2 linked regions of the Callithrix jacchus genome follow. The protein of the gene in region 1 interacts with the protein of each later gene in a pairwise test. Links are inferred from orthologs where the notes say so. Each region holds a gene or a part of one and is shown on either strand. Other genes may lie near its edges. The genes, in order: MAPK7 and ubiquitin-conjugating enzyme E2 C.

What was found.
Region 2: the proteins of MAPK7 (region 1) and ubiquitin-conjugating enzyme E2 C interact in binary tests that used the Homo sapiens proteins (3 or more experiments, as listed by UniProt). The two-hybrid records come from large-scale screens. The link is inferred for Callithrix jacchus from reciprocal best matches to the Homo sapiens genes MAPK7 and UBE2C.

What each region holds. Positions count from the first base shown.
Region 1 is NC_133506.1:83,276,574-83,281,068, forward strand, and holds the start of MAPK7 (mitogen-activated protein kinase 7), read left to right. Parts: upstream 1-1,564; 5' UTR 1,565-1,713; intron 1,714-1,797; exon of another isoform or gene 1,798-1,941; intron 1,942-2,208; 5' UTR 2,209-2,213; coding exon 2,214-2,445; intron 2,446-3,079; coding exon 3,080-3,245; exon of another isoform or gene 3,246-3,799; intron 3,800-3,906; coding exon 3,907-4,495. UniProt on the Homo sapiens protein: Plays a role in various cellular processes such as proliferation, differentiation and cell survival. The upstream activator of MAPK7 is the MAPK kinase MAP2K5.
Region 2 is NC_133507.1:94,914,992-94,917,947, reverse strand, and holds ubiquitin-conjugating enzyme E2 C, read left to right. Parts: upstream 1-1,588; 5' UTR 1,589-1,641; coding exon 1,642-2,181; 3' UTR 2,182-2,370; downstream 2,371-2,956. UniProt on the Homo sapiens protein: Accepts ubiquitin from the E1 complex and catalyzes its covalent attachment to other proteins. In vitro catalyzes 'Lys-11'- and 'Lys-48'-linked polyubiquitination.

The sequences.
Region 1 (4,495 bases):
GGTGGCGCATGCCTGTAATCCCAGCTACTTAGGAGGCTGAGGCAGGAGAATCGCTTGAACCCAGGAGGCAGAGGTTGCAGTGAGCCAAGATGGCCCCACTGCACTTCAGCCTGGGTGACAAAGCGAGAATCCCTCTCAAAAAAAATAAGAAAAAAAATCCTAGGTCTCCACAACCCCATATTATAACCCAGATATTCCTTTCTATAGATAATAACCCTAATGATATCTTTAAATCTACCTGTGACTTGGAAGTCCCTCCCCTTCGAGTTGTCCAGCCGTTCCAGAATAGACATTGAACAGACATTTCCCCAAAGGAGACAAATGGCCAATAAGCTCATAAAATCAACGTCAAAATGTATTGATTTGTGTATTATGTCTTCCTAAAATGTATAAAGGCGGGCTGTGCCCTGACTACCTTGGGCACATGAGACTATGTTACCACCATGTCCTTAACTTTGACAAAATAAACTTTCTAAATTGACTTTACACTTGTCTCAGATACTTTTTGGTTTACATAGGTTTCTTGTAGGGGCGATGAAGATGTTTTATAAACCACTCCACCTAAAATTAGGCAGTGATGATGGCTGCTCAACTGTGAATACAGCAAAAAACACTGAATTGTACACTATAAAAGGGTTTTATGGTACGTGGCTAAAAGTTGTTTAAAGCTGAGGGACCGTTCCAGTTTTTGGTATGGAATGATCAACAGGAAAAGCGTATAATATGCTACATTTTGTACACGAAAGGGGAGGTATGAATATTTGTATTGCTTTTTTCTAGAAACTGCCTAGGAAGTGAAACCAAGATTCCTCACTTTTCAGCCCTACTTCAGGCTCTTTAGAAAACTTTTCCTCTCAGTTCACACTATCCGCCATGTCCACCTTCTCCCCCTCCTCCGCGTCCCCCGGCACTAAGCCTTAGAGGAGTGGTGCCCGATACATATTTGCTACGTAAGTGAACGAATCAACTATCGAACTCTGGGGTGGGTCGGGGCAGCTGGTTTCCAGCGTGGACTCCGCCGACTCGCGACTCCGAAGAGGGACAGAGGCTGGGCGGCCGTCTCGGTTAACTCCGAAGCAGCCCAAAGCACAGCAATCACGGGACCAACAAACGAACAGAGGAAACATGCCTGGAGGCCCAGAAACCGCGAGGCGCCGTCCAACTTGGCCGGAAGCTGCGGAGAGGTTCAGCCACCGGAAGTCAGCGGACGTTTCGGTCGGACGCTCTGGAATCCCGGAGGACCGGGATCTCTGTGGTTGGCCGTGACGGGCCCCTTTACCGGGGATGATACATTCTCAGAGCTCCTGGGACCGAGAAAATGGTGGGCACAATTCCCTGGGCGGTGGGGACTGATAAGGGAAGGTGCACCCCAAAGAGGGTGACTTCGGGAGCCAGTAGCCAAGGTAACAGTGCCAGTCCCGGGCATCTCAGGCTTCCAGAGAGACCTGCCGTTCCCTGAGCTCACGGGACTAGCTGTGATTGGCCGGACGAGGTCGAGTGCTAGATGGGGACGCGCGCGTTACGTGCAGGGGCGTTCCTTCCATTCACTTGGCGCCTGGCTGCCAGTGCGCATGCGTCTGAAGGCAGTGCCGGGCGGGGAGCACACCCTGCGAAGTGCCCGGCACCCTTTGGGCGTCTCCCGCCTGTTAGCTGGATAGCGGCGCGCGCCAGGCGTGGCTTCCTCGGCCGGTGGGCTCTGATTGGACGCAGCAGGTAGAAGGGACAGGACTCTCCGCAGAAGTAGCTCAGCGATTGGCCAGAAGCTAGAGGGAGCGTGGTCTTGGGAGGCGGGGCGGAGGGGGACGGGCAGGGCAGCTCTCGACGCTGAGGTGGTGGTGGCGGCCCCTGAACAAGTAAGCTGGCCACCCTCGGAGACCCCCGCGCTGGGGACGGGAGGCCGGAGAGCCTCGGGACCTCTGAAAGCCCTGAGGAGGCGCGGGGGTGAGTGCGGCCCCGAGTAAACCCAGGTGCCCCGCCCCTCCCTTTCTTCCTGGCCAGCGCCTCGCTTTCCCCTCCCCTGAACCTGGCGGGGCCCCGGCTCTGGCCTCCGACCCCCGGGGTAGCGTGGTCTGCCCCGAACCAGGCGCGCGCTTCCGGCTCCCGTCGGTTTAGGGAACTGGAAAGTTCCCTGGTCCTGCTCCCCAGCCCGCAGAGGGGACACTGAGGCCTACGGGAGGCGGGCCCCTCCTCACCCGCATCTCCACACAGACACCATGGCCGAGCTCCTGAAGGAGGAAGACAGCGAGGACGGCTCTGCGGAGCCCCCCGGGCCCGTGAAGGGCGAACCCGCCCACACTGCTGCCTCTGTAGCGGCCAAGAACCTGGCACTGCTTAAAGCCCGCTCCTTCGATGTGACCTTTGACGTGGGCGACGAGTACGAGATCATTGAGACTATAGGCAACGGGGCCTACGGAGTGGTGTCCTCCGCTCGCCGCCGCCTCACCGGTGAGCTTCCTGAGCCGTCGACCCCCAGATTTGGCGGCGTTGCAGGGAGTGGGAAAACGGCCCGTCCCACACAGCCGGGAAAGAAAGCAGGGTGCGAGTTCTGGCTCCAATCAACACACACTGACCAGGGCCCTCCGTGTGCCAGCCTCTGAGGAGGCTCGATTCTCCGAAACCCTGGCCTGGTGGTTTTGCCATCCTGCCTACCTACTGCCTCCTTAGAAAAATGACAGTCCCAGTTAGACCAAAATGGAGAGCCAGTCCTTTGTGTCTAGAAGAGAAATGTGTTCTGGAGCCAGACACTGGCACAAGGAACCGGTGGTGGGATGGGTGAGGTCTGAGATGGAGAGGGTGTAGGCATCAGAGGCTGGACTCCACCACTGGGCAGCCGCGCAGCCTCCAACAAGTTACTAAGCCACGTTGACCTTTTGGGACCTGCCCCGTAGGGAAGTTGTGAAGGTAACGTTTAATAACGTAGATAACCTGCTTAGCCCAGGGCTTGGCACATGGTATGTACCCAGTACTTGGTAGCTGTTGTTAATTTGTATCCTAAAAGGGAGGTGTTGATAGGAGCTGGGTTCGACTCTGCAGTTTCTCCAAGGTACTCTCTGGTATGTCCCTGTTCCCTGCTCCTCAGGCCAGCAGGTGGCCATCAAGAAGATCCCTAATGCTTTCGATGTGGTGACCAATGCCAAGCGGACCCTCAGGGAGCTGAAGATCCTCAAACACTTCAAGCATGACAACATCATCGCCATCAAGGACATCCTGAGGCCCACTGTGCCCTACGGCGAATTCAAATCTGTGTAAGAAGCGGGATGGGAGAGGGAGCCAGACTTGGGACCTTTTCTGAAGGCTGCAACCATATTGCTGAAGTTCCAGAAAGGCAGCTGAACCTAATGTGAAGCAGGCTGGGAAAATTCCCGCTATTCTAGGACCCTTCCCCTTTAGAGTGTTGCCAGGGACAACTTATTCCTTAAGAAGAGTACAGATGATTTTTCAATTTTATAGAATCTTAGTGTATAGGATGGCAAATGTAGGACATTCCTACCATGTCTACACCCTCCTATTCCCATAGCTGACTTCACTAATCAATCGCAGAACACTTTCCTACAGACAGTGGACAAGCCTGGTCAGTTTTCATCATAGTTCTTCAAGCTGCCACTACCAAACAATGGAGATAGCCCCAAAAGGAAACCTATTGGCCAGCCCTGGTGTAGTCCAACCCCATTTTTATCTGATGGGGGAAACTAGGTCTGGAGACAAAAGTGATTTAACCAAGTTCATGGAAAAGTCATAGAGAATCTAAAACGTGATGCTCTTCCTCCATACCATGCCGTCACCCCTACGGGGTCCCAGGGTAAGGCTGTTATCTGCCTGGAATCGGAAGGGTGTGGTGAGGATGGGGCTTGTCCCTGGACTGTGGTCAGGCCAACCCATGCTTCTCTCCCTTCCTTCCCCTTCCAGCTATGTGGTCCTGGACCTGATGGAGAGTGACCTGCATCAGATCATCCACTCCTCACAGCCCCTCACGCTGGAACACGTGCGGTACTTCCTGTACCAACTGCTGCGGGGCCTGAAGTACATGCACTCGGCTCAGGTCATCCACCGTGACCTCAAGCCCTCCAACCTATTGGTGAATGAGAACTGTGAGCTCAAGATTGGTGACTTTGGTATGGCTCGTGGCCTGTGTACCTCACCCGCTGAACATCAGTACTTCATGACTGAGTATGTGGCCACTCGCTGGTACCGTGCCCCCGAGCTCATGCTCTCTTTGCATGAGTACACACAGGCTATTGACCTCTGGTCTGTGGGCTGCATCTTTGGTGAGATGCTAGCCCGGCGCCAGCTCTTCCCGGGCAAAAACTACGTACACCAGCTACAGCTCATCATGATGGTTCTGGGTACCCCATCACCAGCTGTGATTCAGGCTGTGGGGGCTGAGAGGGTACGGGCCTATATCCAGAGCTTGCCACCACGCCAGCCTGTGCCCTGGGAGACAGTGTATCCAGGTGCCGACCGCCAGGCCCTATCACTGCTGGGTCGCATGCTGCGT
Region 2 (2,956 bases), on another chromosome or scaffold:
GCTCACTGCACTCACTGCAACCTCCACCTCCCATGTTCAAGCAATTCTTCCACCTCAGCCTCCCAAGTAGCTGGAACTACAGGCGTGTGCCACCACACCCAGCTAATTTTTTTGTATTTTTAGTAGAGACGGGGTTTCATCATGTTGGCCAGGATGATCTCAATCTCCTGACCTCATGATCCACCTGCCTTGGTCTCCCAAAGTGCTGAAATTACAGGTGTGAGCCACTGCACCCGGCCAATTTTTGTATTTTTTAGTAGAGACAGGATCTCACCATGTTGGCCAGGCTGGTCTCGAACTCCTGACCTCAAGTGATCCACCCACCTCAGCCTCCCAAAATGCTGAGATTACAGGCATAAGCCACCATGCCCTGGCCTATGCCATTTTATATAAAAGACTTGAGCACCCTTGGATTTGGTTGTCCCCAGGAGGTCCTGGAACCAATGCGCCACAATACCTAGGATGGCTGTACTGTCTCAGTTATCTCTTCTTGCTAAAAAGGCACCCAGAATGTAATGGCTTAAAGCGGGAATTTGGGCAGAGCTCAAAGAGGATGGTGTGGCTCTTCCCCCACTTCATATCAGCTGCTCTCCACTGGGGCTGGGCCAAACTGGAAGTTCCAAAATGGCCTCACTCACATTGTAGTATCCCACTGGTCTGGAGTTGAGTCCAAGGTTCTGGTTCCCTTGAATCCTCTCTTCACCATCATCTGTAGTTCAAGCCCTTATTGTTTCTCACCCAAACTATTGCACCAGCTTTTTGTCAGGTAGATCAACTTAGAACTTGAATGTATTTGCTTACCAACCTTAAGTAGTTCCTATTTTCCATAAGACAAAGCTCAAATCCCCTATAATCTATTTTGGCCTCGTGCCCTACATTCTGCCACTTCCTCTAGCCCTGCTATATATTCAGACTAAATCATACTTCAGCCGGACGCGGTGGCTCACGCCTATAATCCCAGCACTTTGGGAGTTCGAGGCGCGTGGATCATGAGGTCAAGAGATCGAGACCATCCTGGTCAACAAGGTGAAACCCCATCTCTACTAAAAATACAAAAATTAGCTGGGCATGGTGGTGCGCGCCTGTAGTCTCAGCTACTCGGGAGTCTGAGGCAGGAGAATTGCCTGAACCTGGGAGACAGAGGTTGCGGTGAGCCGAGATCATGCCATTGCACTCCAGCCTGGGTAACAAGAGCGAAACTCCGCCTCGAGAAAAAAAAATCGTACTTCTTGTTTCTCAGCCTCACCACATATTTTCTTTTTCTTTTTTTTTTTTTGAGATGGAGTTTCGCTCCTGTTACCCAGGCTGGAGTGCAATGGCACGATCTCGGCTCACCACAACCTCTGCCTCCCGGGTTCAGGCAATTCTCCTGCCTCAGCCTCCCGAGTAGCTGGGATTACAGGCACACGCCACCATGTCCAGCTAATTTTTTGTATTTTTAGTAGAGACGGGGTTTCACCATGTTGATCAGGATGGTCTCGATCTCTTGATGTCGTGATCCACCCGCCTCAGCCTCCCAAAGTGCTGGGAGTATAGGCTTGAGCCACCGCGCCTGGCCCTCCCTGATTTTTAAAAATAAAGTTGGCCAGGCAGTTGCAGTCGTGTTCTCCGAGTTCCTGTCTCTCTGCCAGCGCCGCCCGGATGGCCTCCCAAAACCGCGACCCAGCCGCCACTAGCGTCGCTGCCGCCCGTAAAGGAGCCCAGCCGAGCGGGGGCGCCGCCCGGGGCCCCGTGGGCAAAAGGCTACAGCAGGAGCTGATGACCCTAATGATGTCTGGCGATAAAGGGATTTCTGCCTTCCCTGAATCAGACAACCTTTTCAAATGGGTAGGGACCATCCATGGAGCAGCTGGAACAGTATATGAAGACCTGAGGTGTAAGCTCTCGCTAGAGTTCCCCAGTGGCTACCCTTACAATGAGCCCACGGTGAAGTTCCTCACACCCTGCTACCACCCCAATGTGGACACCCAGGGTAACATATGCCTCGACATCCTGAAGGACAAGTTGTCTGCCCTGTATGATGTCAGGACCATTCTGCTCTCCATCCAGAGCCTGCTAGGAGAACCCAACATCCATAGTCCCTTGAACACACATGCTGCTGAGCTCTGGAAAAACCCCACAGCTTTTAAGAAGTACCTGCAAGAAACCTACTCAAAGCAGGTCACCAGGCAGGAGCCTTGACCCAGGCTGCTCAGCCTGTCCTTGTGTCATCTTTTTCATTTTTCCTTAGGTCTTCTGTCCTTTTTGTGATTTCTGTATAGGACTCTGTATCTTGAGCTGTGGTGTTATTTTTGTTTTGTTTTGTCTTTTAAATTAAGCCTCGGTTGAGCCCTTGTGATGTATATTAAATAAATGCATTTTGGTCGTTTTTTTAGACAAAAAATAAATAAATAAAGTTGGCCGGGGGAAAAAAAAAACAAAAAGAAATAGCTCAGAAAATCTTAGAGATAATACAATGAAATAAACTTATTGAATGTTATCTGTTTTTAAAATGTCAGCATTGCTTTGTAAATACATTGCTTGACATTGCAGCATTTTCAAAAGATTATACTTTTGCAATCTTAAAATGTTTTTAATTTTCTTTCTGAGTTTTTCCACAGTTTATTAGGGAAAGAAGCATAAAAGGAAAACAACAGAAATGTTTTGTTGTTAGGGTGACCTAACAGTAAGTTTAAATACAGGAAATTGGGCACTGTGTTGAATGTCTCCATTATTAGCACATAAGCGATCTTAAATAAATGTCTAGTGCATTAGACACTCTTTAACACAAGGTTATCAGGACTCTGCTTCCAAGGGCAGGCTGGCAACATATTTCAGGAAAGATGTGATGATTCTAACGTAGTCTTTGAGCTATGCGAGCAATACAGCAGTGAAGACTCACGAACATTTTTCCCTTCCTGTCTCCCCCCAAGCCCCAGAAATGTTAGGGAACAAGAAGGAAAGAAAAGCCTGTACT